Linked DNA regions of Yarrowia lipolytica. The protein of the gene in region 2 purifies or fractionates together with the protein of the main gene of each other region. This does not show direct contact. Links are inferred from orthologs where the notes say so. Each region holds a gene or a part of one and is shown on either strand. Other genes may lie near its edges. The genes, in order: YALI1_B02487g, YALI1_F12013g, YALI1_E40361g and YALI1_A17570g.

What was found.
Region 1: the proteins of YALI1_F12013g (region 2) and YALI1_B02487g purify together in Saccharomyces cerevisiae (affinity purification with western blotting; 3 studies listed by BioGRID, with this or other methods). This does not show direct contact. The link is inferred for Yarrowia lipolytica from reciprocal best matches to the Saccharomyces cerevisiae genes QCR2 and QCR9.
Region 3: the proteins of YALI1_F12013g (region 2) and YALI1_E40361g purify together in Saccharomyces cerevisiae (affinity purification with western blotting; 4 studies listed by BioGRID, with this or other methods). This does not show direct contact. The link is inferred for Yarrowia lipolytica from reciprocal best matches to the Saccharomyces cerevisiae genes QCR2 and QCR7.
Region 4: the proteins of YALI1_F12013g (region 2) and YALI1_A17570g purify together in Saccharomyces cerevisiae (affinity purification with western blotting; 4 studies listed by BioGRID, with this or other methods). This does not show direct contact. The link is inferred for Yarrowia lipolytica from reciprocal best matches to the Saccharomyces cerevisiae genes QCR2 and CYT1.

Annotation. Positions count from the first base shown.
Region 1 is NC_090771.1:248,156-256,049, reverse strand, and holds YALI1_B02487g (uncharacterized protein), read left to right. Parts: upstream 1-6,601; coding exon 6,602-6,604; intron 6,605-7,014; coding exon 7,015-7,152; intron 7,153-7,284; coding exon 7,285-7,353; downstream 7,354-7,894. Other genes in the region: YALI1_B02550g (uncharacterized protein), read right to left, coding at 1-988; YALI1_B02533g (uncharacterized protein), read left to right, coding at 2,706-3,851; YALI1_B02506g (uncharacterized protein), read right to left, coding at 4,279-5,409; YALI1_B02496g (uncharacterized protein), read right to left, coding at 5,541-6,416. UniProt on the Saccharomyces cerevisiae protein: Component of the ubiquinol-cytochrome c oxidoreductase, a multisubunit transmembrane complex that is part of the mitochondrial electron transport chain which drives oxidative phosphorylation.
Region 2 is NC_090775.1:1,197,341-1,205,713, reverse strand, and holds YALI1_F12013g (uncharacterized protein), read left to right. Parts: upstream 1-4,410; coding exon 4,411-5,685; downstream 5,686-8,373. Other genes in the region: YALI1_F12052g (uncharacterized protein), read left to right, coding at 340-395, 449-489; YALI1_F12033g (uncharacterized protein), read right to left, coding at 529-2,328; YALI1_F11956g (uncharacterized protein), read right to left, coding at 7,924-8,373. UniProt on the Saccharomyces cerevisiae protein: Component of the ubiquinol-cytochrome c oxidoreductase, a multisubunit transmembrane complex that is part of the mitochondrial electron transport chain which drives oxidative phosphorylation.
Region 3 is NC_090774.1:4,032,351-4,040,195, forward strand, and holds YALI1_E40361g (uncharacterized protein), read right to left. Parts: upstream 4,295-7,845; coding exon 4,167-4,294; intron 3,821-4,166; coding exon 3,562-3,820; downstream 1-3,561. Other genes in the region: YALI1_E40324g (uncharacterized protein), read right to left, coding at 1-41; YALI1_E40327g (uncharacterized protein), read left to right, coding at 339-3,020; YALI1_E40394g (uncharacterized protein), read left to right, coding at 7,083-7,845. UniProt on the Saccharomyces cerevisiae protein: Component of the ubiquinol-cytochrome c oxidoreductase, a multisubunit transmembrane complex that is part of the mitochondrial electron transport chain which drives oxidative phosphorylation.
Region 4 is NC_090770.1:1,753,782-1,762,091, reverse strand, and holds YALI1_A17570g (uncharacterized protein), read left to right. Parts: upstream 1-5,106; coding exon 5,107-6,180; downstream 6,181-8,310. Other genes in the region: YALI1_A17622g (uncharacterized protein), read left to right, coding at 1-1,704; YALI1_A17583g (uncharacterized protein), read right to left, coding at 1,956-3,746; YALI1_A17551g (uncharacterized protein), read left to right, coding at 6,961-7,317; YALI1_A17546g (uncharacterized protein), read left to right, coding at 7,453-8,157. UniProt on the Saccharomyces cerevisiae protein: Component of the ubiquinol-cytochrome c oxidoreductase, a multisubunit transmembrane complex that is part of the mitochondrial electron transport chain which drives oxidative phosphorylation.

The DNA.
Region 1 (7,894 bases), on a different chromosome or scaffold from region 2:
GTCTGGCGATACCCTCCTCGTCTTGGTAAGCTGAGTACTCCGGCAGAGATCGATTGAGATCCTTTTCAATCTCTTCTGTGGCCTGAGAAGTTTTTCCTTCGTACTCCTCAAGCAGGTCGTTGTACATGCTCTGGTGGGCGAGACGCAGGTACAACGACCCCGACGTGAGTTCCCAAATTTCGCCTCTCAGTCGGTTGGGCAGACCCACTCGGATGAGTTTGTAGAAGGTCTGTTGTCTCACCAAAGTCAGGTTGCGTCCATGCGTCTGGAAGTACTCGAGCCACAGGCGCATCTTGGACTTATCCCGCAGCTTTTTGGCGTCTCCGGGGTATCGGAACACCTGTCCGAGACCTCCCAGTGGTGGAGGGGGAGCGTCGCCCTTTTGGCCGGAAGAAATTACGTTCAACAAGTACTCCGAGTACAGGGTGGCGAGGAAGGGCTTGAGAGACTTGATCTTGGCAAGGTTCTTGCCCAATTGGGCCTTGAGGGCGAGCGAAAAGCGGTCGCAGGCGGACTTGATGCCGATGAACTGGATGACGAGCGTCAGGCCGTTGTATGTCTTGATGGACAGCGCAAAGAGGTACGACTTGAGCGGGAGTCGCTCGACCCGTTTGACCGTCAGCAGGGGCAGCGCAAACGAGCATTGACGCGCGTCGGTGGCTGTGAAGCACAAAAACGAGTCCGACAGGTACAGCTTGCCCTGGTAGATGACGTTGGAGAACTCAATGAGAGATTCCGAGCGGGCCGCCTGGCCCGGGTTGACGGGCGGGTTTTCTGCGTTCTGAAGCGCAACCTCGACGCTGATATCCGCCAGCAGCTTCTGCGAGTCCGGCAGACTAAATTGAAGCCGGAACTTTTCGTCCTTGTTGAGTCGGCGTTTGTAGTCGGAAAATTGCGCTGTATCGGCGGCGGTCTGGATGACGCCGGACGAGGTTTCCGGCTCAAACAGCTCCAGCGCCTTGTTTTTGAGCGAGGTGAGAAACGACATGGCTCCACTGGCACGAGTAGCTCAAAAGGTGTAGTTGCAGTTGTGTGGTGTTCACCGAGTGGAGTCCTGCACGATAGTGGTGATTGGGAGTATGCAGATGGTGCATGTAATAGCGCAGAGGGGATAACATATACCGGGACACATTGAGAGTGGGAGGTCACGTGGAGAGGAGGATAGCGGTCACGTGAAGTGGTCTGGGGACGTCTGGACAGGTCTAGAATGGTCCAGGATGGATATGATAGTCTTGACAGCTTTTTTGTAGCTCTCAGGCTGTATCAAGTGCTGTTTTATTGGATATACCACATCAAGGGCAAGTACAGTACAGTACGGAGAAAACTAACTACAGTACTGTACATTGTAGAAATAAAATATTTAAAAAATAAAAATTAAAAATAAAAATTAAAAAATTATGTCAGAGAGATACAGCTTTCGGAGTAATGGGATGAAATCAGAGTGTGGCAGAACTTGTAGCTGTGGATCTCGTAAAGGACACGGTTTTGATGTAGCCTTTTTCCTTCAGGCCGTGCCGGTAGCTACTTGCACTCGCACTGTACTCAACTTGCTCTCTCTCTATCTCTCTTTTTTCCTATCTCTCTCCGGAATGGCTGCCTCGGGCTGTCAGGGTGAATCTTGGCTGAGCTATATATAACCGGCTGTGACATGCCAAGAGCGCCGAAATGACGCGAATTGGTGAGAAACCAAACCACTCCGGTCGAGGATCGAACTCCTGACCCGCTAAGGACACGTATGGGCTTATTGTAGTGGTCTAAGGTCCTGATCGGGGCTAAAGGTGCACGAGCTGGGACGTCCCAAAATGGTGATCTTTAGAATTAAAAACGGATCATTAGAAAAGAAAGAAAGAAAAAAAGGAAGGAAAAAAGGAAAAAAAGGGAAAAGAGGGAAAAAAGGGGAAAGAAGGAAAAAAAAAGAAAAAAAGGAAATAGCTCGAAGTTGAATCATGGGAAAAGAAATTCTCCGGGAAAAAGAGTAAAATAGAGGAAAATCGACCGTGTGGGACTGGTCGGGTTGTTTGCAATGAGTCTCTTTCTTCCTGCGAGTCATCTCGAGTGTTGAAGGAGTCACCCAGCACCGCTGACATTATTGTTATTACTAACTACAGTACAGTGTGACATCACCAACAGCATAGATCTACAGATGAACTTGCTCAACTCGGGAAAGAAAAAAAATTAGGCCATTTTAAGCCCATTAGAATGTTGACCACAAGGTGGCATTTACTTTCTCCCTCGATGGCTGCAAAGATAACTAGAGCGGCGTTGTCCCGTGACGTACTTTTGGGTGGCCAATCGGTCGTGTTGTCACTTCGATACGACATAAAATAATACCTACTACAAGTAGCAGTTAAGACGAGGTGCTGGAGAGACTTTTATTATCATGATTATTATTGTTATTCTAGACGAAAGTGTCCAAATCACCTCCATAGCGAGCTGAAGGACACGCCTGTCTTCGGAAGGAGATATGGCCACCCATGAGCATTTCAAGCATGCATTTTTGGTACAATATGATACAATTATCGTCATTTCTTCTGCCTTGAACAACCTCTGTATATCCCGCATATTCCGTATATTTTATCCAAGTAAAATGCACATCTTTTGTTTTGTTTAAACAACCAAGTTCGGTCACATGACTCTGCATAGTGAACAGATCTGACGCATCTCGACATTCACCACCAGCACATTGCAACACCCAACATTGCACAATGTGGCTCAAAATCTACCTACTCTCGATCCTGGCCATCTCCGTGTTCACGTTTGTGTTCTTGTTCGGCGCGTTGCCTCAATTCGAGGACACTGCGGTCTGGAAGTTCCGAAAATGGCTCAGCAACCGTCCGGCAGCCATCAGATCGTGGGACTCAAAGTACTGTGGGGGCCGTCTCTCGGTAGTGGGCGACTTCTGCGGCTCTGTGGTTGCTCCCGCAGCTCCATGGTCCGTGCCCATTCTCTACTGCGCCTTCACGACCTACATGTTCTCTGCCTACTATGAAGATTTGCATCCGTTCATCGCAGAAAATCACTGGTATTACGCGTGGCTGGCGCCTGTGGCCTACACGATTCTGGTTGTATCTTTTGTACTTGCCACCTTCTCGGACCCCGGCAAAATCACCAAACAAAACCACGCCCTGCTGCTCAACCAGTTCAGGTTTGACAACCTCATGTTCCTGGAAGACACAGAATGTAGCACGTGCAAGTTCACCAAGCCTGCAAGATCCAAGCACGACCGGTTCACCAACAAGTGCGTTGCCAAGTTCGACCACTATTGTCTCTGGATCAACAACACGGTGGGTCTGTACAACTACAGATGGTTCCTCTTCTTCCTGCTGGGCAATGTCTGGACCCTGTGTTGGGGAGCTCTTCTGGCAGGCCTCAAAATGATTGTCATGGTGGCCGCGGAGTACAAGGACCATCCCAAACCGCTGCCAAGTATCTTTTCGCAATGGTGGCAGGTCATGATCACCAATGAGAACAAACGGGTGGGGATTATCTTTCTGCTGTCGGTGTCTACCGGTGCTCTAGCCTGTGCCTTCACAGCGATGCATTTCTACTATATTTACCTTGGAGCCACCACCAATGAAACGGATAAATGGGGCGATATCCATGCTGCCATTTCCGAGGGCAGTGTATGGATGTTTCAGAAGCCGGGTTTCAAGCTTGATCGAAGCATTTTGTTGCAGAAAGACGAGGAGGGACGACCGAACAGATCTCTGACAGCGGAGGAGCGGGAGTACGTTGCCCAGAATGGTCTCGCCTTGACCTTGCTGACGGACCATAAACCGATTGTTAACATCTACGACAAGGGGTTTTTGAACAACTTGAAGGCAGTGATGTTTCCGAACAGCGCTTATTAGTGATGGAGACATTGGAAGGAATGAGCTGTGCTACGCCCCTGAGGAATCTGCTGGCGAGGTGTACGATACAAAACCTGTATAGTAATTTATTTATGACTAAGATGCGGGGGGTTGGTTGCCGTGACATGTTAGAGCTCTTTAGTACTTCGTCTTGACGCAGATTAATGTCTGAGAGAGACAGTCCCGGGATCGTGTGTTCTCCCAGTGCCTCATGTGTAAGGCCTCAAAACCAATTAATCTGGTATTGGTGAACGCCCGTGATAATGGTACAAGGTCATTGGTTTCATAGTTGTTTCAGTCAACTTCCGACATAGCTCTGGTGTGTAGTTTATCAGAGCTCCGAGTAGGTGTGCAGTTTCTCAGAGCACCGAGTAGGTATTCAGAGCTTCAGGATCCAATTGATTAGTGCTTCGCTAAACTCGATGTTCTAGCTAAACAACCTCCTCAGCTTTTCTATCTTCTCCCTTCCAAATCCACCTCTCGTAACCTCCCTGACATCCTCCTCCCTCGGCTTCTCATACCTTATGCCCATTCGCTTACAGAGCAGCTTTGATGGCACCCACTCTTGGACCACCGTCCTCGCACTTGCCTCCTTCGGACCCTCAACAGCACTCCCCGCCAGCTGGAACTTGCTGTCCAATTTCGACTTGTAGGGGTTCTCTGACGCCAAAGTAAAATTCAGAGAGTCCAGAAACGAATCAACTTGGGTCTGCAGTGTTTGCTGGGTCACAGGAGTAGAATGGAGCCCGTATTGTTTGTACACGGGATTGGACACCAGAACAATGGAGAATCCTGGAAGTGGTAGTTTTCCATCTGAACACAGGACCGTTCTTGGCTTGGTAAACGAGTTTGTCGAGTCAGAACCAGTCCCAGAACTTTTCTTTCCCATCAATTGTCTCTGTGCAGCGGTCAAAAACTTATGTTTCACCACACTCTTTGGCTTGCCCGTATCTTCCCTGTCTTTCCTCAGCTTAGGAAGAGACTTGGTCACGGGATAAAGTTCGTCCTCCTCCTCATCTTCCAGCAGTAGGGGCCGTTTTTTGCCAGACCCGGGGACTATTGAAATGGTCTTGTTGGTGGAGCCCATAGTCAGTCGCTTGGTTCCGATCTGAGTGGTTTGAAGTGCTGACTCAGATGGATCTACCAGTCGAGCTTCATACCCAATACCTGCTGGGCCCTGATACACCTTTGGCGTCTCGGGAAGTACTTCAAAAGCGCTCATGGAGCCGGAGCCGGAGCCATTCTTCTGGTCGCTCCACCTAGCCAAGATTCCAGGCCCGACGTTGACGATTTCGCGCTGGCTTTTTTCCCTGTGGTCATCCTCGTCGTCAACATAGTCCTCTATCGTGTTCGTCGCCCTCTCGCTGTCCTTGCTGCTGCTCCACTGCCGCGGGGTCCATCCTTCTTGTGACCCTACAGTGTTGTAGTAGCCGGCCGACCAGCCGCCTTCAAACGCGCCGTGGAACCGCCGGAGCCCATTTTTATCGTACGCAAAGTCGTTTCGGAGACCCTTGCCCTGGTTTCGGTTCTTCACTGGCGTTCCGTATGGCGTATACATTGCATTGTGGTGGTGATTCGGTCAAGATGGATTGAGTTAAGCATGTCAAATATATATGCATGCCGAGTACGATATGCTGCAGTATGTACTTGTATATATAGAGAAATAAATATTTTGCTATTTTTACTTTTTTACTTTCTTTTGTGTGGAGGAATGTACCCGGAGGTTTTGTTGGCATTGTTTGAGCTCTTCTCCTCTGTGGGTGACTCTGCCTTTCTAGCATGTCTGGACTTGAGAGGAATCCTCTGAGTACTTTGTGGGGTGGTAGTGAGATTGGTCGGGGACTCGACCTGAGACTTGGATTCCGACTCCGCCTGAGACTCGACCTGTATCTGTGTCGAATCGCTTCTTTCCGTCTTGTCCTCCCTCTTTTTGTGTTTCGACTGTAGCTTGCTTGTGGTGGTTGAAGTTTTTGTTGGTGCTGTTGTGTCTGGAGTCGACCTGATATCCAGATTATCAACAGCGGCAATCATGTTGCTGATATCATCGGGGCTCTTGCCGCTGTTGTCGAATATCACACTCTCCTCCACCATCTGCTTCTCTTCCTTCCGTGGCCCCTTCTCCTTCTCGCGCTTCTTTCTCTCAAACTCGGCCTTCGCAGCTTGGATTCGGGCCTTGATAGCCGACTTGTTGTCGTCAGCACCACTTGCTTGGGTCTCCACCCTAGCGATCGGACTCTCAGCAGACACGATGCCCAACCTGGCATCTCGTTCTCTCGCCCCGCGTGGCTTGTACTTTGGAACATCTTCTTTGGCAATGTATCCAGGCCGCACCTTGGCAATCGGTCTCACACTGCCGTCAGATCGCACTGTTCCACCCACCACTCTCTCTCCATCCTTTTCATATGTTCCTGTGAGGGACGCCATACTGCTCGTGTACCGTTCTGCGTTCTGAAGGTGTGCAAACTGGACACAGATTGGCCTCCAGCCCAGCCTTAGTTGTGCACCCCAATGATTTATCTGTTTGTCCCAACCCAGAATCGAACTCACAGACGTAACTCTAAACATTTTCCACCCGCCCAATATCTCTCTACCCTAACCCCGATCGTCGTCCCACAATAAGCGTCTTACTACTGGACATCGTAATAAGCTTTCTGGCCACCAGCCAATCACGCCCCGCGCTTTTGGGACCCCAAGAAGCTTTGCAGTCTCATCTCACACGTTCTCACATTGAGATATTACACAGCATCAAAATGGTGAGTCGAGAAAACCGGCCAGGGGGACGTGAAAAAGCAGGGCGACGATAGGGCGAGGTGTTGGAGCAGGCACATGGGCAGATCACGTGGATTGGGCCTGATTGATCGCGACATTGGTGGTGGACACTAGAGCACAACAGACGCATCACGACATGAACAGGAGGAACGAACGAGGTGACAGAGAAGAGAAAGCAAGCGACAGAGGGAAGCAACGGAGATAGGCGACAGAGACGGACGATAGAGACAGACGACGGACGACGGAAATGTGGTTTATGACAGCCAACGACGTATCTGTTAGCTCGCCATATGTCAGTCGATCCATTATCTTGCTCAACTGTACAAACCACCCCAAACCACCTCAAACCACCCCAAAGTACCCAATCAACGCTTCTATCAACATACTAACTCAGGCCTGGGCTACCACTTTCTACAACGTTTTCGTGAAGCGAAACTCGGCCTTCGTGGCCACCATCCTGGCTTCCGCTTTTGTCTTTGACATGACCTTTGAGACTGCCATCGACAACTTCTGGGACAGAATCAACGCTGGCGTGAGTATTAACGAGATACAAGGGCACAGCCCGAGTACCGAATGAAAGAGGACGAGGCCACTGCTGTTGTTTTTTGACGACATTCGCAGTTTTGCTATAACAACCGCGTCTTTTCGGACAGCACTAACTCAGAAACAATGGAAGGATATCCGACACAAGTACATCGAGGCCGCTGGCGACGATGACGAGGATGACGAGTAATCGACGCGCATATAATTAAAACTGATATTTACTTGAAGGGTGGAATTGGCCATTGAGATGGCATCTTTGGGTAACCATGGGGAAATTTGAGGCGCATTAGAATATGTATTTTTTATGAGTGTGTAGTAAGACAAGTGGTCTGATTCTGTATGACATGCTTACCAACACGACAATGAAAAACCATCTACTTCCCTGTGTTTTGTTCAGAACTTGAGAGATCTCAGCTCACTATTGAGCTCAACTAAGTTCAGCTGATCCCCAATTAAATACTTGGATTAGTAAGCTGATATAAGCAGACAAAAAAATGTTCCACCAGAAATACCCACCAGAATCTGCAAAAAGAAGACTATATATGGGCAAAAAGAGAGGACGACAGGACTCGAACCCGCAGCCTTTGGAGGACGTCGTTCACGAAGAACCGAAATCCAATGCGCTACCATTACGCCACGTCCTCTGGTGTGGAGTTCAGGGCGGTGATAAGAGTATTCAAGTGCAGAAAAACGCTTGAAATTTCGCAGAAAAACAAAGAAAAACAAAGAGA
Region 2 (8,373 bases):
TGATGAGGTCGGAGGTCGGTGAGGGGGCAATTCGAGACCAGATCTGCCTTAAAGACCGACTTGTGGCACAGTATGTACTATTTACAAGAGACTAGGTACGTACTGTATGAGTAGGAGCCAGTTAGAGAGAATATCAGATCCTCGGAGTTCATTAGGGTGCTCGGATTACTGCTTGACACAGTAGTTGGGCGAGTGTTAGGTAAACATCTACTCGTTCTACAAGTACTTGTAGTGCTCAGCCCATACTCGCCATTGATGACATTTCGGTTCACCCACAAGTAGCTCTTTCCTTCTCTATGCAATTAGTATTTCTTTACATGGGTGAGTATTCTCATTCAGTCGCTTTGCTCAAAGTGAGTCTCTTCCTATCACTGGTGAGAGCCTCATTCAAGCGAGTCTCCTCCAACCACTCCGATCAAGTGAGTCCTATCCAACCATTCCGACCAAGCGTTCAGACACTCCGGTCAGGCGTTCACTCCGATCAAGTGAGTCTTTTGAGCTGCTCAGACGACTGGCTTCGCTCGTCGTCTAGTAATCTCTAAATACCCGAATCAAACCATCCAACCTGTTCATCTGCACCAGCAGCTTCTCCTCTCTCATTCTCAGTCCCTTGAGATCCGCCTTTTCCTGCTCGGTCAGAAATTCATCTTCGTGTCCCTTGACATCCTCTCGCTGCAGCTTGCTCAGCAGAATGGGCAGCTTGGCACGCTCGGCAGCCACCCGCTCGAAACAGCGCGACAAAGACTTGTAAATGTCCTGTGAAATGAGCGAGTATGCCCGGTTGGCTCTATGATGCCACAGAAAAATGGTTCGAGACGCAGCTCTGTCGGCGGTTCGAGGCAGCTCTTGCACGTCCAGAGCGCCGACAGAATGCAAGTCGTGCAGGTGGTTGAGAATCTCCTTAACGGGCAACAGCGCAATATTGGTCAGCAGCTTTTCGTCCACCTTGCCCTTGTCCTTGACAGCTCGCAGCAACCGCTTGGCCACGCGGCCGTACTTCCACTGAATGATCTGCTCGTATCGCGCGCCCCGCAGGCACTCGGTAGCCTCTTTGAAGTTGACGTACCACTCTCCTCCGCCCTTGGTGCCCACGCTCTGCACAAACTTGAGCGGTGAGGCTGCCAAAATCTGCATTTGTTTGGATACTGCTGTTGCTAAAGCAACGCCCGACAACTCCTCTTCCATATCTTCTTCAACGTCCACCTCCTTCTCGTCATAGTCTCCAGTCTTTGTATATCCCTCTTCAGTCTTGACTCGTTTGCTCTGCGGCCGGGGAGAAACGGATCGTGATCCCTTTCCTCGCGGTCTAAGACCGTCCAGGCGAGGATCGATTGTCTTGGCAATCTCCATCGACGTGATGTTGAATTCAGCGCCTGGAGAAGTGTCTTGAGTGCAAGAATGCAGACGGCCAACGTACTTGCTGAGACACTGTCTGTAGACCTCGGCCGCCGTCTTGCCACATCGCTCCTCGGCCAGCTTGGCCAGCTCCTCGTTTCGCGCAATCACCAGAAACTTGTCGGGATTGGCACACAGCACGGCCTGGTGGTCGAGCTTCTCGGCGCGGTTCAGGACAGGGACGCCCTTAGTTCGGGCCACAGAGCCCGACACAAATCCCAGATTCAGCGAGTTGCGCTCCTCCTGCATGCGCTCGAGCTCCGTTTTGGCGCTTACCGCAGCCTGGTTCTTTCGGGCAGACTCGGCCATGGACAGAGGCAGTTTACTGAGGTGGTCTCTGAACATGCGTGCGTAGAGATCTGTCTCGGGCTTGAACTGCCACGCCTGTACGGGCACCAGAAACCGTTTGCGCAGCATCACCGCGATACTGGCCTCCACGCTGTCTCGGTCGTGCTCGGGGGTGGCTTCCAGGTAGTCGGCCACCCGCATGTGTCCGTACACGAGCAGGTTCTGGGCAATCTCGGCACACCTCTCGCCCGACTCGGGGTTGCTTTTGCCGCCGGGGCCCTTGCCGAAGTCCTTTCGCACCGCATCCACCATGCCGCCAGCCCGCACCACCTGGTAAATCTCCTTCCAGTTGGCCACGTAATGGATGGAGCTGGACTCGCCAATGTCGTCTGTATCTCGCCCGGATTTGCGGTCGTTGGCCCAGTACAGCACAAAGCGGTTCTGCACCAGCGCCGCCAGACCACTGTGCACCGCTGACAGCGGCAGTTTGGTGGTTTTGGCGAGCTCAGCAGCCGTCTGACGCCCATAGTCCAGAAGAGACCCCACCAGAACCGCCGATAGCTCGCCGTATATGCCCTTGAGAAGCACGCGGCACAGATCGAACAGAGCCCGCGAAGACTGGTCCGGGTTGTGCAGCTCGCTCATAGTTGGTGTGTGTTTGTGAAGTTGGTTAGTAAAAAATCCCCCAGTAGAGTTCAACTTTCGACAAGATTTTTTTCACTGCATCATGCACCTATGGGTGGTGGAGGGGAGTAGAGGGTTGGGGTTGGGAGGCTGTTATTCGGGGGATTAAGGGAGTTCGGAAGGTTGTCGTGGACACGTGATCTTGCATGTGGCGTGTATTTTCCCTTTAATTGCACCGCTGACTAAACATGGTGGAGCCTACACTACAAGGACATGTAGCTATGGACATGTTGTTTAGGGAGTGTAAGATGGGATGTGAAAGGGGGATGAGGAAAACATACAACTACTTGTAGTATGACTGTATATTCAGATGACGACCAAAAAAATAGATCATATTTCTACGCTTTTCCTGTTTTTTCCTTTTTTTCCCCAAATTTTTCCATCTCAATCTGCCAATTCATCTCCCGTCAACTTTCATCACAGCGCATACAATATGCATGCACGTTCTTTTTTATATTTTATATATATGTTTTATATTTTTATATATGTTTTATATATTTTTATTCCAGGATGCGTGAGTAAAACGGGGATAAAACGGGAAAAAAACGGGAGTAAAACGGGAGTAAAACGGGAGTTAAAACGGGAGTAAAACGGGAGTAGGAGGTGAACCACGGGCTACAGGGAGGTCACGAGCTACAGTGTATTCGATATCGGGCTGACTTCATTTCTAAAAAGTCAGATTATGAGTGTCTGTTATATACAATATATGTTCACCAGAGTCAAGTCCTCCAACTGGCTGAATTTTGACCGTAGAAAGCTGAAATTTGACACAGACATACTGGAGACACAGAGCAGACGGGAACAGCGATTTCTCTCCTTATACATCTACACCAACGAGGTATACGACACCCCAAAACAAGCCACTTTCACAACTCTAACCACCTTGGGCATGCATGTTTGAAAAAAACAATCTATGGTGATGAACATGACTGGGTAGGGAAAGAATGGGATAAAAATGAGTCAAATCAGATTCAAGATTGGTATTGTCGGGGAACACGGCGGAGGGGCCCATGTGACCAAATTTCAGCAAGACCCGATCCAAGTAGCGCCCACAAGGGGGACCTTTTAGTCATACCGGTCAATGCAACTCCAGAATCAGAGGTGAACAATCAGAGGAATTGTTATAAGAAGATGTCGATAGAAATGTCTCCGTCCAGCCAAGTCGACGACATGTTAAACTCCCGAGAACCTCTTTCTGTGGCCCCATCAGGCTAACTTTGGATGCGGACTCAAATACAGTCACAACTCGTGTTACAGTAGTCAGAAACGACTTGCGAAAACACCAATGTACTCCCACAATTCCAAGGGTCACAATGGTATACTCAACTCGTCCTCAAACCGCCCTCACTGTTGCAGAATCCCCGTCGCCAATTGCCCTCGATCCCATTTGCCAACTTTGCATCAACTGTAAACAAACTCGGAGATTTGACAAACTTGGAGATTTTTTAGATGCACGACCAACGTCATATTGAGGGAGATACGGCGAGGCGGGGGGAAGAGGTCACGTGGATGGACAGACCACGTGACCATTGCCACTCGGTACACGCCGACTCCATAGCCAGAGTTCGTCTATTCACGTGATCTGTCTCAAATACTACGCTGCTCAAACGGCTCATAATTTTGTATGTACAATGATGATTTGCGTGATTCGAGTGATTCGAGTGATTCGAATGATTCGAGTAATTCGGAAACAACACCACACAGTGCACGATTGAGACGGGCGGCGCGGACGAGGGGCAGATCACGTGACCGACCGGGTCCAATTGAGCTCCGCTGGCGGAAAAAAGACGGATATATCTTGGCGACCGCGCGCTCCAGTCGTCTCCTCCTGGTCGATGGTCTGATGCTGAGGAGTCCCAACCACGCGCTGCCCTAACCCTCGCACTCCACAACCAATCAAAACCGACGCTTTGAATGTCTTTTTGGCAAAAAAGGTTAATGTGCGCTCGCACAAATCACACCCAATAGTCAGTTCACCAACCACCCAGAACTAACCCCTTCACAACACAACACCCCCCCAAACCCCACACAAAAACAACCACAATGTTGTCTGCCCGATCCTCCATGACTCGGGGTGTTCCCCGACTGGCCGTTGCCGCCCGACACTTCTCCACCGCCGAGGCTGCCGGCGTCAAGGTCGCTGCCCAGGACGGCCAGTCCCCCATCTCGGACCTGTCTGTGGTGCTGCGAGGTGGTTCTCGATACGCCACCGTGCCCGGCGTGTCGCACATTCTGGAGAAGTTTGCCTTCCAGAACACGGTGCCCAAGTCTGCTCTGCGATTCGTCCGAGAGCTGGAGCTGTTTGGCGGCAAGCTCTACACCCACACCACACGAGAGCACATTGTGCTGCGAACCCAGTTCCTCAAGCAGGATCTGCCCTACTTTGTCGACGCCTTTGCCAACGTGCTGAAGGAGACCAAGTTCCAGCAGTTTGAGCTCACCGAGCGAGTCGCTCCCGTGGCCGAGCTCGACCTCCTCAAGCGAGAGTCGGACCCTGCCTTCACTGCCCTCGAGGCTGCCCACGAGGTTGCCTTCCGAACCGGCCTCGGAAACTCCGTCTACGCCCAGGGCTACTCCCCCGTCACCCTCGAGGACGTCAAGGAGTTTGCCCGACAGGTCTACGCCAAGCAGAACGTTGCTGTTGTCGGCAACAACGTGGTCCCCGCCGATCTGCAGCAGCTGGTCGGCACCGCCTTTGCCGACCTGCAGGAGGGCTCCAAGGTGACCCAGGCCGGCACCACCACTCTCCACGGCGGTGAAGCCCGAGTCCGAACCTCCACCGGCAACGCTCTGACCATCGCCCTGCCCATTGCCGAGCCCAAGCCCGTCTACCACGCCCTGGCCTCCTTCCTCGGCGGCCCCGCCTCCATGCCCTGGTCCGTCGGCGCCTCTCCTCTCGCCCAGGCCACCGTTGGCACCCACACCTCCGTCAAGGCCACCTACCACAACTACGGAGACGCCGGCCTCTTCGCCATCACCATCAAGGGCGACTCCCCCGCAGAGATCTCCCAGGTGGCCCACAAGGCCGTCCAGGCCCTCAAGGACACTGGCGCCGAGGTGACCGAGGAGCAGGCTGCTCGAGCATACGCAAAGTCCAAGTTTGCCGCCGCTGAGGCCTTTGAAAACCCCGACTCCTCCGCATCCGTCATTGGCATGGAGCTTCTGTCCGGAGTCTCCCGAATCGCCCCCGAGAACGTGCAGAAGTTCACTCCTGCCGAGCTCTCCGAGGCCGCCGCCCAGCTGTCTGCCAGCGCCAAGCCTGTTGTTGCTGCCGTTGGCCAGGTCCACGCTCTTCCTTTCGCCGACGAGCTTTTTTAAGCGGTAGGTTAGCATAATAAAACTAGATATTGACGACCCTCTACTGGCGCGCAGTATCATCCTTGCGACGCTGTCACGAGCATGATCTTGCGGCAGTATATGGGAGCAGACGTAGACTACGTTGCGAGTGCCACGGTCACTAGTGATGTATGTACACGTAGGGTGACGATGTTATCGTAGAGTGATACCAGTGACGGGTCCGATGATACCGGTGACAAGAAAGAATGTGGTGGGTATGACCGCGATGGGAAAGAGTGTCAGGATGTAGTGTGGACTGTGTGTATCGTCATGAGATGCTTCCATGAACTACGCTCTGAAGTGGTCTTGTCGAGTGTTGTTGCAGGGAGGAAGTTCATTTGGAGACGAGAGATTTGTGGGAGAAGATAATAACGGGTTGATCTTGTTTCATCAGGGGATAGAGCAAGTAGAGGCGTGAGGGGTCTGTAGAACTGAGGGTATTGGTCTCATCGGGGGTATCCATGGTAATCTGGGTGTACCGTTCGACATCTGGCTTGTGTCTGGTGCCAATACTGACTATCATTATTGGAAATCTGATTGTGGCAGTGAAGGCGGTAGGGTATCAGTTTGTGGAGAACGAAGGGTGGCTGAGGGCTGGCTGTGATGCTGTTGAGGAAGTTGTCTGAAGAGGTCAGAGGAGGTCAGAAGAGGTCGACTCTCAACTAGTCGCTTGAAAAGCACATAGACAGTTCACTTCCGGTTCACTTCTGTTCACCTCGGTTCACTTCTGATACACTGGCGGTCAATATCTCAGTGTCTGTTGGCGAAGGTGCTGTGATTGGCGACTTGTGGAGTTCAGAAGGAGTCTGAGTGAAGGCCAGGGAGGCTGTCGTGATAAGGCTGGAGGCCGGATACATGGGTTGAGTGGAGTGGAGGAAGTTGTCTCAAGTTCCACTGAGATAATTGGATTGTTTATGGTCATTGTAGTACGAGGAGTACGACAGCCATAAAGGGTATGGATTGGTGTCGGTTGAGAAAGAAGAGATAGTATGAACCGAGGCCGAGGCACCAGGTGATATGGAGAGGTACATCTGCCAATTGAAAGGCGAAAACATATTGATATGAAGATTAGATGCTCTGACAATGTTTACTTTTCTCATATTGTCACTTCTCATACTCTTTCTCATGTTAACTTCTCACACTATTCACTTCTCATGTTCCCTCTACCATCTACCTCTCCTCAAAAGACTCAAGGATAACCTGGCCATGTTTCATCCCAACAACAAACGTCCTCACTCGCGGCTCTTCCCTCTTTTCTTTTCTCTTTCTCTTGCCATCCAGCCGCTCGCCAGAGTCATCTTCGGACCGGACCCCCGCCCCTTCCTGGGCCACATCTTCCTCCGGAACAAGGCGATTAACGAGATCCAAAAGCCGCTGACGTGCTGCCATGGGCGACATTCGAGAAGTGTAGTCTTCAAACTCCTCGGATTCCAGCAACGTGCTCGATAGGCGAGTTCTCACCTCGTGCTCATCCCTCTGAGTAGAGGCAGTGGACAATCTGCTGGTGGAGGCGTTCGAAATGGTGCTGGAGACGGTGCTGTGATTGGTTTCACTGGCCTCGTCGTCTCCTTCCTCATACGCATCAAGAGGGTCAATTTCCGAGTACATTTGACGACACGTTCAAAACTTTGGTCCTACACAAGACGCAAAAGAGTATCTACCAGGCAATATCCATGGCGATGGAGACATGGAGAGTTCAAAAGTGGGATTTATGGACATGGAAAAACCAGATTCGGGTGTTGTTCCTGTAATTGTATGGTTTCAAGTGCTACTTTATGGGGTTCAAGATGACCGTAGATATGCGCTGCAGAGTCATGATAGACATTTGGAAGGAAGAATAATCAAACGACGAAACTCGAAAAAACTAAAGGATTCGAATGATTGAGTTGTTTTAGTTCCTGAGACCCATTCAATCAACTGTTGGAGACTGCGAACCCTCTCACAAGTACCATACTTCCCTTCATGACCACATGGTGAACACAAGAAACAACAATATAGACCCGATGAAACACCCATCACCTTCCATCCACCACATCTTCCCATATCCAGCTAATAACGACGGTAGCAAGGAGCAATGAGCTGAAGAAACAACAATCAATTACATATAGTATGTACAAGATATGCATTATATACAATGTGGAAGAGAAGCGGCCACCAATAGCTCACTGAGTGGGCTCACTTATTGGCTATGCGTAGTAGACTAGATGGAGGATCCAATCACTACTCTTTCTTCTTGAGCGAAGGAACAGGGAAAAACAAATGATATCCGCTCTTAACCACATCCACCTTGTAGTCGTTGACATCATTCTTCTTCATCTTCAACGAGGCCAAATTGATGGAAATGCCCATAGTCGATCGCTGGAGCAGCTGGACCTGGGGCTCTCTCTTCACATCCGTCTGCTTCACCACAGCATCGACCATCTTTTTCAACTCGTTGGTGGTTCGAGTAGCAATGGCAAAAATGTCGTCGACAGACAGAGCGTCCAGCTGATCAGTGGTGGACTCCTTGAACTGGCTGTAGTTGACAAGAGCAGGCACTCCCACGGACGAAAACGGCTTGAGACGAAGCGCGTACATGAGATCGGCGGTGGTGTACTTGATTTGGGGATGCTGAATGAGTCCAAATCGGTCGTAAAGATACATGAGCAGCATGGAGCATTTGCAGAGATC
Region 3 (7,845 bases), on a different chromosome or scaffold from region 2:
GCCGGTATGCGTGACTGTCGGAACAGGCGTCCAAAGGACATTTTTTGTTGTCAGATTTTTCGATGTATCCACCTCGGTTTTTTTCCCAAAGGCTGTTCGTTTGACCTTCGGTGATGTTCATGCATGTCAAGGTTTGGCCCACTAAGGAGGGAGACATGGGGCTGGGGAGAGAAATGGGGCGTGGAAAATAATGAGTGAGGGAAAAACGAGGGTCAAAAGCGACAAAAATGGGGCACATTTGAGATGTTAAAATAAGTGTATAAAGATAGACATTATATATCGGACTGGAAGAGTAAGAAACGTGTCTCTACGATACGCCCCAACACCCAACTCACGTGATGATAAACTCGCTTTACAGACTACTACAGAACATCGAGCTGTCCACGTCTCCTCCTCAACACTGGGATATGCAGACATCCACGCCCGTCACGTCCATCTACCAGCGCCAGGAGGTCATCGGTCGCGGCAACTTTGGCGTGGTCTACAAGGGCTACCACAAAAAGACCAAGCAGCTGGTGGCTATCAAGGTACTCAACCTAGACACGGCAGAGGACGACGTCAAGGAGGTCCAGCATGAGATTCAATTGCTGAGCCAGCTCAAGCTCGCCGACGCAGAAAACATCACCCGCTACCATGGCTCGTATCTCCACGGCTCGCGTTTGTGGATCATCATGGAGTACTGTGCTGGAGGCAGTGTGCGCACTCTCATGAAGGCAGGCCGTATCGAAGAACGACACCTCAGCGTCATCACACGTGAACTGCTCATCGCTATCCAGTACATGCACAAGGCTGGAATCATCCACAGAGACATCAAGGCCGCCAACATTCTCATCACCCAACAGGGACGTGTTCAGCTGTGTGATTTCGGAGTGGCCGCGCAATTAGTCTCCTCCAAGACTAAACGGTCCACTATTGTGGGAACACCCTATTGGATGGCTCCGGAAGTTATCACAGAAGGAGCATCATACAACGTCAAGGCAGATATTTGGTCGCTTGGTATCACGCTCTATGAAATTGCAACAGGCTCCCCTCCCCTGTCCGACCAGGAGGCAATGAGGGCCATTTTTCTGATCCCCAGAAACAAACCCGCAAGATTGGAAGGATCCCAGTACTCAGCGGCCCTCAAGGAAATTGTCGCACTATGTCTGGACGAACTGCCTGACGAACGACCCTCAGCAGAGGAGCTGTCAAAAACCAAGTTTGTCAGAGGCTCAAAGGGTATCCCAACATCGACCATCAAAGACCTCATTTCAAGATATATGCACTGGAGGGAACACAACAAGTCACGTGATTCGATGGCTGTATATAACCGGCATTCCATTGGGTCTGAAGAGGATATTGTGGACCATTCGGACGACTTTCGGTGGGACTTCGACACATCCACTGCGCCTGATGATGCTCGTGTGGAGGTTCATAATGGCCAGATGGACTTCAGGCCAGAACCCACACATGCCTACAGAGATATTGGCGAGATGGGTACCCAAGTCCTGTTGCAGAGCACTGTCTCTGCCTCTGAGGTCTTGGAACAGAGATATGAGCAGCAGCAGGGACTACAACAAGGCCAACTACACGATCTTACGACAGCTACTAACACGATGACTGTGCCTCAGGAAGAAGAGGAGCCACATCCACTTCTGGAGCTGTTTGTGGACGAAAACGAACCTCCTGCCCCTCCTGCCCCTCCTGCCCCTCCTGCCCATGCTCCTATGCCTGCTCGTCCCGAGCTGTCTTCCTCAATGTCTCTACCTACCGTTCCCACTCAAAAGACTCAAATGGCGTCTATGGCTCCAACTCTCAACGATCTAAGAGAGGAAGGCGAGCCTCCAGGGGTACCTCCCATGGCCATGTCTCGTCGTAAGACTCTTGGACGGGGTTCCAAGATGGGAGCTTCTCCCGAGAAAGATCATCCCCAACCTCCTCCTCTTCAGCATTCACACAGTTTCGCACAGACCCAAGGCCAAGGTCAGAATCTCAATCAAACCACCCATTCAGGCCAGGCAACTCACCCCGGTCTAGGAGGTTTGCCTCAAGTGCAGCAGCCGCCTCAGCTACAGCAACAACTTCCTCCTCAGATAAAACAGCCCCCTCATCAAATACAGCATCCACAGCCACCGCTGATGCCCCAATTGCATCAGACAATGCCTCCTGTGCCTCACACACAACCTCCTCCCTCTCAGATGCCGCCTCTCCCACAGCAGCAGCCTCCACAACAGCCATTGGCTCCCCCACCTTTAATGGCACAGGCTCCGCCGCCCCCGACACCAATGCATCACTCCTCCGCGTCGCTGGCCGCGGTAGCAGCTGCGAAGTCAGCTATCAATTCGGCCAACCCTTCTTCTGGGGCATCTCTGGCTGCCCCTCATCAGGTTTACCCCAAGAGAACGCCCTCTCCCATTCGGGGCAGTCCTCCACCCGTGAAACGGCCTTCCAGCCCTCCTCCGCAGTTCCACAGACCCTCTATCTCGTCGGTGTCGTCCATCTCATCAGCAGCAGCTTCTCCCTCTGCAGCTTCGCCTGTGATGAGCCACAAGTCGTCTGTGTCTTCTGAAGACGGCGGCCATGCTTCTCCTCCGTTGATACCTCGTTCCGAGAACCCCCAGCTGGCTACCCGGTCAGCTTCTGTTCCTGACGTGGTTATGCCTCGCTCAGACGTTAATGGAAAGTCCCCTGCGTTCAACACCGAGAAGCCCGCCAAACTGCGAAACGTCAACCTGCAGATCAAAATGCCTCCGGCACAAGCCCCGCCCATGCCCGATGCATTCATGACCCCTGCCCGCAAGGAAGACTACACGCCCAGTCTTAATGTTCCGTCTCAGCCTTCGTCGCGTCGTCCTTCTCGGGCTGCCCAAACCCAGCCGCCCGTTCAATCCACTCTGCAGTTCCCTCCCATTCCCAAAATTGATCTGTCGGTGCTGCTGGACCCTGCTCCTCACGCCGATGTCACTCGGGAGCTGGAGAAGCTGCTTACCTCTTTTGGAGACGCTCTCAAGGTGATGGAGGACGGCTTCTCATCACTCTAAGCATTTACTCCCCCACGGTATTAATTATATAGCCTGCTAACATTCATTAGATGATAAGTGAACGATTTACAAGCTAGTACAAGTAGTTGGAGTAGGATATGATTGTGTGGAACTGGCGTATTTCCTATCCTCTGACTAAAACGAGTTACCTATTCCTAAGTCATTTCTCCATTAAATTGTGTGATCCTTAGTTTGGAAATTTGGTTAAAACAAATTTAAGTTTTGTTCACACAAATTGACCAATATTATGATCGGTGATTCGGACAGTGCGTGAAAATCGTCCCATTTGTAATAAGTAATCAACCACGCAACAGTGACCCTAAAGACAGCAATTTGGTCAGCACAAACGGGGGCATTAATTTTAGAGAGATTAATGCGTCAATGCCAACAGAACTCTCAATACGCACCAATCGTTCTGTGTTCTAAACCCCTTACAATCTTCAACACTACATGTGCCAGATACAATACACGGACTACAAGTACTGACATCCATACCTACCCTCTCGTACCTAATAATCATGTATTGTTAGAGCTTTTATGCCTACTTTCGCTTAACAACCTCGAGGTTGTCAAGAGCATCCTTCTCAAAAGCCTCAGCCTCAACGTCGAGGATGTAAGGAATGAGGTAGTGGTCGTCCTCCTCAGGCTTGGTGATGTCGTTACCAGTGGCAAGCTTGTGAGACAGAGAGAACTGAGTGGCTCGGATGAGTCGGTAGACTCGGTCGTAAGACTCGGTGGGAGGGAGTCGTCGGAGAGCGAGCTGCATGTTGGGGGTTTCCTCAATGATCAGATCGTTCATCCTGGGGTTAGTATTTGCTCACGCACAAGTTGATGCACACCCATCAATCAACAATTCCAGCAATATCTACAGTTGAGCGTCGGGGGATTCCTTTCTGAGTCGGTTTTTGTGGTCTTCCAGTGTCGCTGTGTCACTTCCGTATCAATGGTGTTTTGACCCTGAAATATCTCTTACGTCGTCGCGTTTAAGGGCACATTTCGCGTGTCGTAGAAACGCAGAAACGCCTTGAAACTGGTGTCGCAAAAGCCGAAATCGTCCATAATCTTTCCCATTCACTCGTACTGTCGATGCTGCGCAACTGTCGTTGGGGTGTGTCGCTGGAGGGCGTTGTTTTCCTTGATACTCACTTGAAACCAAGCTGTCGGTATCCGGAGAACTTGACATAGGTCTTGGCAAGAGGAACAACAATCTTGCTGAGGAGAGGAGACTTGAGGATAAGCTCGCTAGTCTTCACGACGGAGGTGATTGAAGCCATGGTTGCTGTGTTGTGTAAGTAGTTGGTGCACTCTGCGATCTTTTCTACACTCAAAGTGTATTTCCACTGGTCAGGATTTTGTCCTTATTCTATTGGCTAATGGCCCGAGGGCTTGGGAGGATGCAGTGTGCAGGTTTTGCGGAAGTCTCCCCTAACCCTGTTCGCTGTGTTGGGACAAGTTCTAAGCACGTGACCTGAAAAAATGTTGACTCCACTCATTCGGCTCGTAATTTCGAAGAGAATACAGCACCATGGTCATTTTGCTCAATTCGTATGTGTCAAACGTCCTCATCTGCCACCTTTGCCTTCTGGATCGACTGCAGCCAGCGTCCTTATCCCTTGCCTGCATGAGTGTCCACTGATAATGATACCACACCAGAAAACAAAGAGGTAGGCGTGTCATTCTCAACTCTAATGTTGATTAGGTGCATGGCAGGGCGGGTGTGTCCCCCCCACTTGTCGCTTCAGGTCTACTGACTAGCCACGTCCCAAAAGTATATAAGGAAGCCCAATCGCGCTCTTGCTGTCTTCTTCTTCTTCTTTTTCTTCTTCAGAAGTCGATCCCTCCGCCGCCAGACTGGCAACTGTACCGGTTGTCGGGTCCTTCTGTGACAGTGCTGAGCCCGCTGAAAAGCACCAGGCTCCTGTCAAGGCCTTTCCAGGAACGAGCTTGGCCGCCGTACCTGACGTAATACTACCTGACCGAGTGTGGTCAGCAGAGTGCTTTGGGAACATGCCCAACTGGAGTCGCTAAGAAGCTGCGCTCTGGGAGTTTACCGGTTAAGAGCTGTGTTGCAGCCCCTAAGGGAATGTGTCTAAAAAATGACCTTACCATAGCGAAGAGCGATATGATGCCTGAGCCCTGTGAGCCAGAGCAGAAGTGCCACCGACCGACAGAGAGAGAATGCCTTGAGCCCGTGTCTCGACGCGTCTTCGAGCCTGTGATCTCGACCGACTACCAAGGGGGAGGAAGTTCAGCTATGCTAAACCCTGGAGCCGGAACTTTTTACAGAGGGGAGTGCCGCTTAACAATGACCGAGCAGAGAGCCGTTTGGAAATGAATGTGCCGCCATAGGGAGCCAAGTCGTCGAGAGACCGCCAGTCAGAGGAAGCCAAGATCTAGAAAGACGCCATATCAAGTGATTATAAGAGCCACCAGCAACGAGAGCCGCTATAGAGAGATATTTTGAGTCAAAGACCCATTGCGAGAGCCCGAGTGTCCGTGCGAGAGAGAGCCATGTGTGTGTATGAGCCTGAGAAGCCGAGTCCGAGAGTGCCCGTGGGAGCCCCAATTAGTTACAGAACCGTACAAGTACAGAGGGAGAAAAAGAGCCCGAGTCCGATACAGAAGACCAGAGCCGCCAAAATTGATATAGCCAAGAGCCAGAGCCCGTTAGATCATTGAGAATCGAGACGCTGCCCGTGCCGCTTTTATACAGAGGAGTCGCGAATCCGGAAAGCAAAGAGCCCGTTGCCCTGTCGGAAACACAGAAGAGATAGTTGTAGGATAGGAACTACTCAACTCGCATTAGATAGTATTAGGAGGACGTACGCTGGTACTCAGCCGAACCTCCGGGGTTAATACGATTGGACCATCGAGTCCCATCCCCTATATTTGAGACTTGTAGTGTGTATGGTTGTAGAGTAGTTAGTTGTACTTGTAGGAATTGTGTGTTGTGAAGATTTGTAGCAATCTCTCAACAGGAACACACGTATCCTTTACGGTACTTCTGGGCTCTATCCACTATGTACATACTGTAGTAAGGTTCTTATCTGCGATGGGTCTAAGAACTCTACTTGTAAGATGAGCTATATATTATTACTAGCGACAGGTAGCTACTTTCACATCATTAAATGTGATTCTGGAAGAACTCATGGGGCCTGAGGGCGAAAACCTTGCCGTAGATGTCCATGTTGTTGGAACCCTTGATCTTGTTCCAGTAGCAACGCCAGGCAGCGCACTCTTCCTTGTGGGAGGCTTCCGTCTTGGGACCCAGAGAATGGTGCCCATCAATGTCGCCGTTCTTGATTTGAACAGTTTGAGCGTCAGTATATGTAAGAGGCAGAGTCAGCGTCTTTAATCTTGCTGTCCCAGATCAATGTTGTCAGTAGAAACAGTACATTGGGTACCAATGGCATTGATTCGGGGATATATATTAGCAACAATGGCGATATCCCCACTGGCGCAGATATCCTTTGCACCAAACTTTTCAGCGTCGACAGAGGATTCACAAGATAATCGACATGGCCCTAATCTCGACAGTTCGAACGAACAAGTACAGTGCTGTAGGGCTTCTCGAGGTATCGGCGCTCACCGGTAAACTCGCCCTGGAAGGAGACCAAGGCAATGGTGCCAAGGCCATCCTCGGCTAGTTTCTTGGCGTAGGTTTCAGTGGTTCGTGGTAGGTGAATGCTACCGCTGGCGTTTGTGATCTTCATCTTCGATCTATTGTCACCTGCAGGCCCTTCATATAAATGATAGCCCAAGTTTACAAGGCTTACTACAAATATCAAATGAACCACTTGTATAAGCAGCACTTGTATGTACTGTAGCTACAGTATACTGCAAAATCCGCTCGAGACAGTCTTATAATACAAGGTTTCGATAACAGGCAGCCGTTGGGTTAATTCTATGTAGTGAGGTGATTAACGATTAAGGCAGGCGGGGAAAGAGTTAGAAATGTTCGTTCATCCCCATGTGTCAATTCATACATAAGACCACAGTGGAACCCCTGTCATTCACTCAATCCATCAATACAAACTACACTACCGACTCACAACAAGAAAAATGTCCACTCAGAAGAACGTCACCTACAAGAACCTCAACGGCAACGGAATCACACAGTCAGCCATTGTCTTCTTCCCTCCCAACTTCCAGGAGTCTCAGAAGTACTCTTCTATCATCGTTGGCCACCCCGCTGGAGGTGTCAAGGAACAGACTGCCAGCATATACGCCGAAAAGCTTGCTGCAGGTGGTTTCGTGACCATTGCTTACGATGCTTCCTACCAGGGAGACTCCACAGGAGAGCCTCGATTCCTCGAAGACCCTTACATTCGAACCGAAGACAATTCTGCAGCAGTCGACTACCTCACGACCCTGCCTTATATCGACAACCTGAACATTGGTGTCCTTGGTATCTGTGCCTCTGGTGGCTACGTCGTGAACGCTGCCATCAACGACAAGCGAATCAAGGCTGTCGGTACCGTGTCTGGTGTGAACATTGGAAACATGTACCGAGCGGGATGGACCGGGGATGCCTCTGGCGTCGCTCTCGCTACCCTTCAGCTGGGTGACCAGGCTAGAACCGACGAGGCCGATGGCGGAGAGACTGCCTACATGCCCTTTGCTCCCGAGAAGGTTGAGGACGCCCCTGTCCCTGAACTCCGAGATGCATATGACTACTACCGAACATCCCGAGCCCAGAAGACTAATTGTCCTTCCAAGTTCACTGTTAGATCTATCAACCAACTTGTCACCTATGACGCCTTCAACCTCGCTAAGGACTTTCTTACTCAGCCCCTTCTCATGATTGCTGGTAGCGAGGCCGGAA
Region 4 (8,310 bases), on a different chromosome or scaffold from region 2:
CGTCAGCTCAACGTCACACACCTGAAACCTCGACATTGTGCACATTCCAGGACCATGCCGCTCTCCCTAACGTCGGTCTTTGTGGCAGGCTGTTGTCTGAAGCTGCTGCTGTTCTCGGCGTACCACTCCACGGACTTTGAGGTCCACCGCAACTGGATGGCCATCACCTACCACCTGCCGGTGCGAGAGTGGTACACAAACACCGTCAGCGAGTGGACGCTCGACTATCCGCCCTTCTTTGCATACTTTGAATGGGTGCTGTCGCATCTGTGTCCTGCTAGCGTCGTTGAGGACGGCGCGCTGGACCTGGTGGCCAAGGGCTCCTACGGCATGCCCACCATTGCCTACCAACGCATCACCGTCATTGTGTCGGAGATTCTGCTGTTTGTGGCGTGCCAGTGGTACGTCAACTCGTCGGTGGAGGACCGGCAGAACCTCAACACCAAGGGCAGCCACGCCGGAGTCACCCGAAAGCTGTCAACCATCAAGGAGTCTAAGGAGGAAACAGAAGACGCAGACTCGTCGCTATCGGAACACCCCGAGCTGGCCGCCACAAAAACAAAGCCCACTGCCAAGTTGCGGGCCTTTGCCGTCGCCTCCTCGGTCGTGCTCTCTCCCGGACTGCTCATCATCGACCATATCCACTTTCAGTACAACGGCTTCATGTACGGAATCATGATTGCCAGCATGGTGGCAGCTCGAAACGGCCAGCCGCTCCTCTGCGGAGCGCTGTTTGCCATTTTGCTGTGCTTCAAACATATCTACCTCTACCTGGCGCCGGCCTACTTTGTCTATCTTCTTCGTGTCGTGGTCATCCCCGGAAACTCGTTCAAAAGCCTGAGAATCAACTTCAGAGACACCGTGCTGCTCGGTCTCATTGTTGTGGGCACTTTCACTGTCTGTTTCGGGCCGTTTGTGGCATTTGGACAGCTCGAAAATCTCAAGTCGCGCCTATTCCCCTTCTCCCGAGGACTCACCCACGCCTACTGGGCCCCCAACTTCTGGGCGCTGTACTCGTTTGCAGACAAGGTGGCTGTGACGGTCATGAAGGGCCGAGGAGCCGTCTCTGGAGGCACTAGAGGCATTGTGGGAGACGTTGCGTTTGGTGTGTTGCCCAACGTGTCTCCTTCAACCACGTTCTTCCTCACCCTCTTCTACCAGCTCCTGGGTCTGGGGCCCCTTCTGATGAAACCCACGTACGCGCGATTTGTGGGTGCCATCACCTACTGCGCGTACGCGTCATTCTTGTTTGGATGGCATGTCCATGAGAAGGCCATCTTGATGATCATTATTCCCTTCACGTTTGTGGTGCTACGAGACAAGCGGCTGCTGCTGGTGTTCATCCCCCTGACCATCTCCGGCTACATTTCGCTCTTCCCGCTCATCTACACGTCAGCCGAGTTTATGGTCAAGATTCTGTACACGTTTGCGTGGTTCTGTATGTACTTTTTGTGGTTCAACCACCGGCTGGTGTCGGACCACCGCAACAGCATCACCACGCGCGAGTTTCTGCTTGACCGAGCCTCCTTCTTCTACCAGATGGGATTTGTTCCCGTGGTAGCTCTGTCTGTTATTCTGGACGGACGACCCAATATGGAGTTTCTGGGTCTCATGATCATGTCCGTGTACTCTGCCATAGGCGTGTGTGGCAGTTTTGTCGCCTACTCGTGGTTGTACATGTGTGAGCCCGGAATGTGGCAGTAATACCATGTGCTGAGCGAGTAATTGTGCAGCTCGACGTTTTATACAACGCAAATAATCGCACCATACATCGCAGCCCGGCACCTGCGCTCTGCTTATATACACTAATATATTGGATAGATGATTCAATCAAAATTAACTAGACTAATATAACTTATAATGATGGTAATAAATATGTGGGATGCGCGAGCGGTGAGTATTGAAGCAGTTCTCATGGCCAAAACTACTGGTGTGGGCACTCGGTGACACTGAAGTTACCTCTTCCTCGTCCGCCTCGGTCGAGATGCTTCGGTTCCCTCCTCCTGGGCCTTTTTAGCCTGTTTCGACATCTTGTTCTTTGCACCCAGCTCCTTCTTGCGGGCCTTGCGGTCAGCCCGGATCTTGGCGCACGCGTCGCAGTACCAGTCGCCTCGAGGTGGGTGTTTGAGCCCCACGCACTTCATGTGGAACCACTCCGTTTTGCACTTTGGCGAGTCGCACGCAATCATGCGGCCCTGCGAGCCCTTTCGACACGTGCAAAACACGTCTTCCACGGGCGGTGTAGGGGGTGGCAATCGTCTGTTTGCTGTGGATTTCGCCTCTCCAAGACCTTCCTTGTCCTCCTCTTTAGTATCCTCCTCGACCGCCTCTTCAACCACCTCTTTAATAGGGTTTAGAGGCTTTTCCTTGGAAGAGCTCTGGGACCTTGTTCTTCGGCGTTTTGCGGGAGGAGAAGCGACCACATCATCAGCCACAGGTGGGACTTTTGATTGAGAGGGAACCGTTTCATCTTGAGCTTCAGTGTCCACTTCAGGAGTAGTTTCAACCTCGCCTTCTTCGGTGGCCTCCTCTTCTTCCTCATTTTCTTCTTCCTCCTCATTTTCCTCTTCCTCCTTATTTTCCTCTTCCTCCTTATTTTCCTCTTCCTCCTTATTTTCCTCTTCCTCCTCATTTTCCTCTTCCTCCTCGTGTTCCTGCTTATTCTCCCCACCCACACTCTCCTTCTCCTCCACTTCTACCTCTGACCTCCTTCTCTTCCTTCTCTTGGAGGCCTCCTCGTTGACATTGACAATATCCAACGAGCTGAGCTCATGCAAAATGCGGTTGTCGCGCTTGCGGCGTCGAGAATTCTTGCTGTGCTGCTTCTTGTCCTCGTCGTCTGGAGGCGTTGACGGAATCAGAGGAATAGCTTCTTCCGATGCGGTTGTAGCTGACACATCTGCTGGGGGGGGAGAATTCACAGAAAGAGACGCGGGTATGCTGTCTGGCGGAGACTCGGGTAACGCCTCTGACCGTTTCTCCTTCTTCTTTAGCGACTTGCCGGACTTTTTCTTCTTCGGTGACCGCACTTCCTCCGTGATTGGGGTTTCAGTAACCTGTTCAACTGGTTCTTCAACTGGTTCTTCAACTGGTTCTTCAACTGGTTCTTCAACTGGTTCTTCAACTGGCTCCTCGTCAGCCCCAACACCCTCCACAGGCTCATCCACCTCTTGCACACTTCCGTTGGTCTGTTCCGATTGTGCTGCTGCAGTAGCTGTTTCCTCTGCCTCCTCCAACTCCTGTTCCGACGAGGCTTGCAATTCCTTCTCAACATGTCCCCTGTCATCCTCCTCCAACACTCCATTGGTGTCTCCATTCAAAACCTCCGGTGGAAGTTCAAAGGCAACCTGGGGTATAGCTCCTTGTGTATCCTGTCTTTGTGCGCGTACTCCATGTATGTCGTGGTTGTCCCTTGTGTCGCTCGTGTCCGCCTCTCGGACCACCTGGTCTCCATCTTCTCCACTGGCCAAAACGCGTAAAGCTTGGCGGCCCTTAGCCAATTCGCCCTCAACCAAACGGGCCACGTCAGCAGCTTTCACCGCACTATTGTGCTGCAGCATCGTCAGTTGGTTGTAGATGCTCGATATCTCTCGTCGAACCGACAGTGAAGACAGAGGATACGCGTCGGGGTCGGAGGAGCATTTGGACGTCAAATCTTCCAGCTGCCGCGATAACAGATCGGTGCGGTCTCGAAGCGAGTTCAAAAGAGCCAGCGACCGCACGATGGCCGGCGCATTATTGTTCATTTGCCGCAGATACCGTGTTGTGCTGGTTTGAAGGGGGTTCCACAGTCCTGGGATATTATGACAGCTGGATAAACTTTTCCCGAAAATAAGCTTTTGTGGTGACAATGGTAAATGGGGCAGGTGTTCGGGAACACGAGATGGGGCCAAATGAACGGTGCGGCGATGTCGGGGAGAAATGTACGATTCGAACGGTACCAGAAATGTCAAGTTTCGTCATGTTTAAGAAATAGTCTGAAATTATATTTTGTTCTTTTGGGCGACCTGTGCTTGAAAACCAGAAATAGAGTTCAATAAGTCGGCTTAGTAATCGTCCTGAGAACGGGCAATGTTTAAGGAGAGCAACATTGTAATATTGTATATGAAATGTACAATAGTAAATGTCGATGAGGACATGCATGCATGGACTGGGCGGTTGAACCTTTGATTGTACAGATTATGAGCTGTTAATGAACTTTATTGGGGGAGCTGTATAGCACAGGTTAGGACCTGTATAACTCCTCGTTCGTTACAATTCAGATTATGAGTTAGTTTGCTCGACATTGTGTCATTCGGCGTTGCAGTCTCATGTCCCCCTACAATATCCAACGCCTCCAGATCATACCATATTATGGTTTCGAGGCTAAAGTCATATTGGGCAACCGGCGAGCATATGGGTTAGGGTTCTTTTATTATACGCTAATTGTCATTGGTTGGGAGAAAGGCGGTGGAAATTGGCGTGTTTGAGTGGAGTTGAAAAATAGGGTGGAATGGGTGTAGAGGAAGAGGGTGATGGAGTGGGCAATGGCGGCGGTCGATTCGGGGGCGCAAAGAGGGTTTATATAGATAAATTTGTGGGGACACAAAGACCCACGGCCTCCCCATTTGGCCCCGTTTAAACTCCAAAGACCAATGGCAGCACCCTCTTTGCACGACAACACAAGTCCCAAACCACATTTAGAAATCAGCCAATCACAGGTGCGCTTAATCCTGCTCCCGCATTTTTTACCACCCAAGTACGTTAACTCGGCCTGCTACACTCTTCCATCAAAAGGTTTGTCACCACTTTTGTAACCGATATCCAGGGTGAGTATCGGCAATGGGGGCGCTGGGGCGCTGGGGCGCGGACGACGACTGGAGCCATGTCACCGATCAATTGCCAGTGGGTCCAGGTGGTGTTGGCACTGGTGTTGAGGTGGTCATGTTCTGAGTATTACCGCAAGGAGAGACGAGACAAGTGACACGGAGAGGGAGAAAAGGAAAAGAGGACTGGGACGACAAGGCCAGGTGAAACCACGACTCTGGGCATGTGGCGCGATTCCGTGTCGGTGAGGAGGAGAGATGACGACAAGGATCGATCCCAAAGTGCGACACGCCGACCACAATGTGGGACAGCACACCCAACGCAACTGCAGCAGCAACAAGAGCATCGACATTGCGACCGAGAAACTACATTCGCAGCGAAATGCGACGACGGCGAATTGGCGTGTGGCCCGAGAATCGACGTGTGTCACGTCTGTGGGTCTCATTGTCACCCCGGTCTTGCGTCACTTGCCCCGTCCCAACCAATCAAAACCCGCCCATCAACAATCATCACACACCCATACTAACGCAGATGTTCAAAGCAATCCCCCTTCGACAGGCCCTGCTCGGAATCTCCTCCGCCGTGTGTGCCGGTGCCACCACCACCTACTACTACACAACCAAGGCTGAGGCCATGACCGCCGCTGAGCACGGTCTCCACCCAGCGGAGTACCCCTGGCCCCAGAATGGCATGCTCTCCACCTTTGACCACGCCTCTCTGCGACGAGGCTACCAGGTCTACAAGGAGGTCTGCGCCGCCTGCCACTCTCTGGACCGAATCGCCTGGCGAAACCTCGTGGGCGTGACCCACACCACCGATGAGGCCAAGGCTTTCGCTGAGGAGCTCGAGTACGACGACGAGCCCGATGATGAGGGTAACCCCCGAAAGCGACCCGGAAAGCTCGCCGACTACATTCCCGGCCCCTACCCTAACGAGCAGGCTGCCCGAGCCGCCAACCAGGGAGCTCTTCCCCCGGATCTGTCCCTCATTGCCAAGGCCCGACACGGAGGTGCCGACTACATTTTTGCTCTGCTGACCGGCTACCCCGACGAGCCTCCTGCCGGCGTCGTGCTCGCCCCCGGAATGAACTACAACCCCTACTTCCCCGGAGGAGGCATTGGTATGGCCCGAACTCTGTTCGACGGTGTTGTCGAGTACGAGGACGGCACTCCCGCCACCACCTCCCAGATGGCCAAGGATGTCGCTGCCTTCCTGACCTGGGCTGCCGAGCCTGAGCATGACGAGCGAAAGAAGCTTGGTCTCAAGGCCATCATTGTCATTTCCGCCATGCTTGGACTGTCGGTCTACATCAAGAAGTTCAAGTGGTCCCCCATCAAGAACCGAAAGTTTATCTACAACCCCCCCAAGAACTAGATGCATAGTTAATGAACTAAAACAATTGACACGAAGCAGTCCACGCGTGGGCCGACGAGAAAAAAGCCGTCGGCCTGTGAGTGGGCGTATGAGTTTGAGTACGTTGACGAGGAAGTCATTGAGGAGTCACCGAGGTCACCGAGGAAGCCCAAGACTTTCCAGTGAGCTTAGGATGACGACTGAGCTGTAGCTAGGATTGTAGATTGAGATTGAGTTCTCAGTTGCCAGGATTGTAGATTGGTCTGTAGAGGGCGTGACAGGATGTAAAAGAAAGCGAATGATACCTCGGACTGTACGGGTACACCACAGGCAACAAGTGCGCGTGCTGTAGATAGACCAGGACAGTTGGACTGTGTTGTGATCACTGAATAGCACAGTATTCGTTGGAGTGTTCTTGACTCCATCTGCTGCTTTGTAAGCCGCGACTGGCATGGTGTCTTCTGGTGTCCATCTACTGAGGAAGGACTGGAGGAAGGACTGTGAAGCTAAGTACCCTCGTTGAGTCAGCCAGTGACAAGTTGGACTTGGAGGAAGTGGAACCAACCCCGAGGTTGTATAGCACCATTCACAGCTGGGAGCGCCACCTCCTCCGCTGAGACCAATTGAGAGAATCGTCTGGGTCAGTCGAGGGAGTGGGCATCTCGCGGTTTAAATACCAACTCTAACCCCACACAACATGCACATTGTCATGTACAAAAAAAAAAACATTCATCTTAACCCGAAATTTCATTCCCACCTCTTTTCTCCACCCCCTTTTTCTCCACTGATACCACCAAAACCATGGCGACATTCAGGATCAGCAAATACATCTATCTGCACAAAAACGCGCCGACTCCGCAGGGACTGGCTAGCAGCAGCATTGACCGCGACGCGTCCGAATGGACCAAATACCAAAACTCGCCCCTAGAGCTCTCCATTGATACCACGCCCGCCGGGGGCGCGAAAATTTCCCTCAAATACAAAAACACCTCTTTGGAGCATGTTGACACAGACGAGATTGAGGAGCGGTTCGGATCCACCTACGGAAAGAACAACCCGCCGTTTGTGGCCATTTGTAGACCGCCAGGGATTGGTTTCAAGTACTTGGTGAGGAGATTCCATACCATGGTGAGTGTTCCACGAGTCGGTTACGAATGAGCGACGCAAGTGGTTGTCCACATTACAATATTATTGATACCTTCAACGCCAACGCAGCAATACCCTAACATGATACCCTGAGATATCCTTTTCCAGCTAACCAAGACTTATCGCTTTCAAATCAAATTCGCGTACATGGACGAATACGACCGGGCAGTGGAAATGCTATCAAAGGCGGGAGTGTGTATCAAGGGTAGCCCTCCCAAGTCTACCAGGACTGAAGGTGCCACCCTGACCTCCTTCAAAAACTTCAACCCAGAGTCTCAGTGGAACGGAGAAGATGATGATGGCGACCTCACCCAGATTGATCCCTTTCTCCAGTCTCAAACCCTCTCTCCCACCCAACCTCCTGGTCCAGCTACTGAGCCTCCAGTTATGAGCCAGACTTTTGTTGATCCCCCCAGTTCGTCGCAAGCATCTCCCCCATACCAATTCAAGCACTCTCGGTCTGCGAGGCTAGCACCATCGTCGTCGCAGTCCTATCTGCCGGTGAAGCCAACCCCATTGTCGCAGCCAAGGAGATTCTCTGAGACTTCTACGTGGAAACGCACCGTTGACGATATGCCTTCTTTGGGGGCTTCTCCTGTCAGCTCGCCCCCCAACTCTCCGAAAAGAGCCAAGTCGTGGAAGAAGCACTTTACCCCTGCAGATACAGACGTTCGGAGCGGGAATGGGATGGTCAGCAGAGGAACACAGACCGAGGACCCCGAATGGCTGACTGACACGCAAGCTATGGAGAACCACATTGTGGATGTGGTCCAAAATCCTTTGTTCGACGCATATGTTGCACGCATCAAGGAGTTGATGAAAGGCGACCAATTCGAGAAGGACGGATTCTGAGAGAAGGGGGATGTGTATATTAGTTGTAATAAAAGTATTGTGATGTAGTCTTTTGGTTTTTTTCACGATATAGTCCAGTTTAGACTGTTGTCATCTACCTGGTCAAAGGAATAGTGAACAAGTATAGAAATATAGAAATGAGAGGCCGTTTTC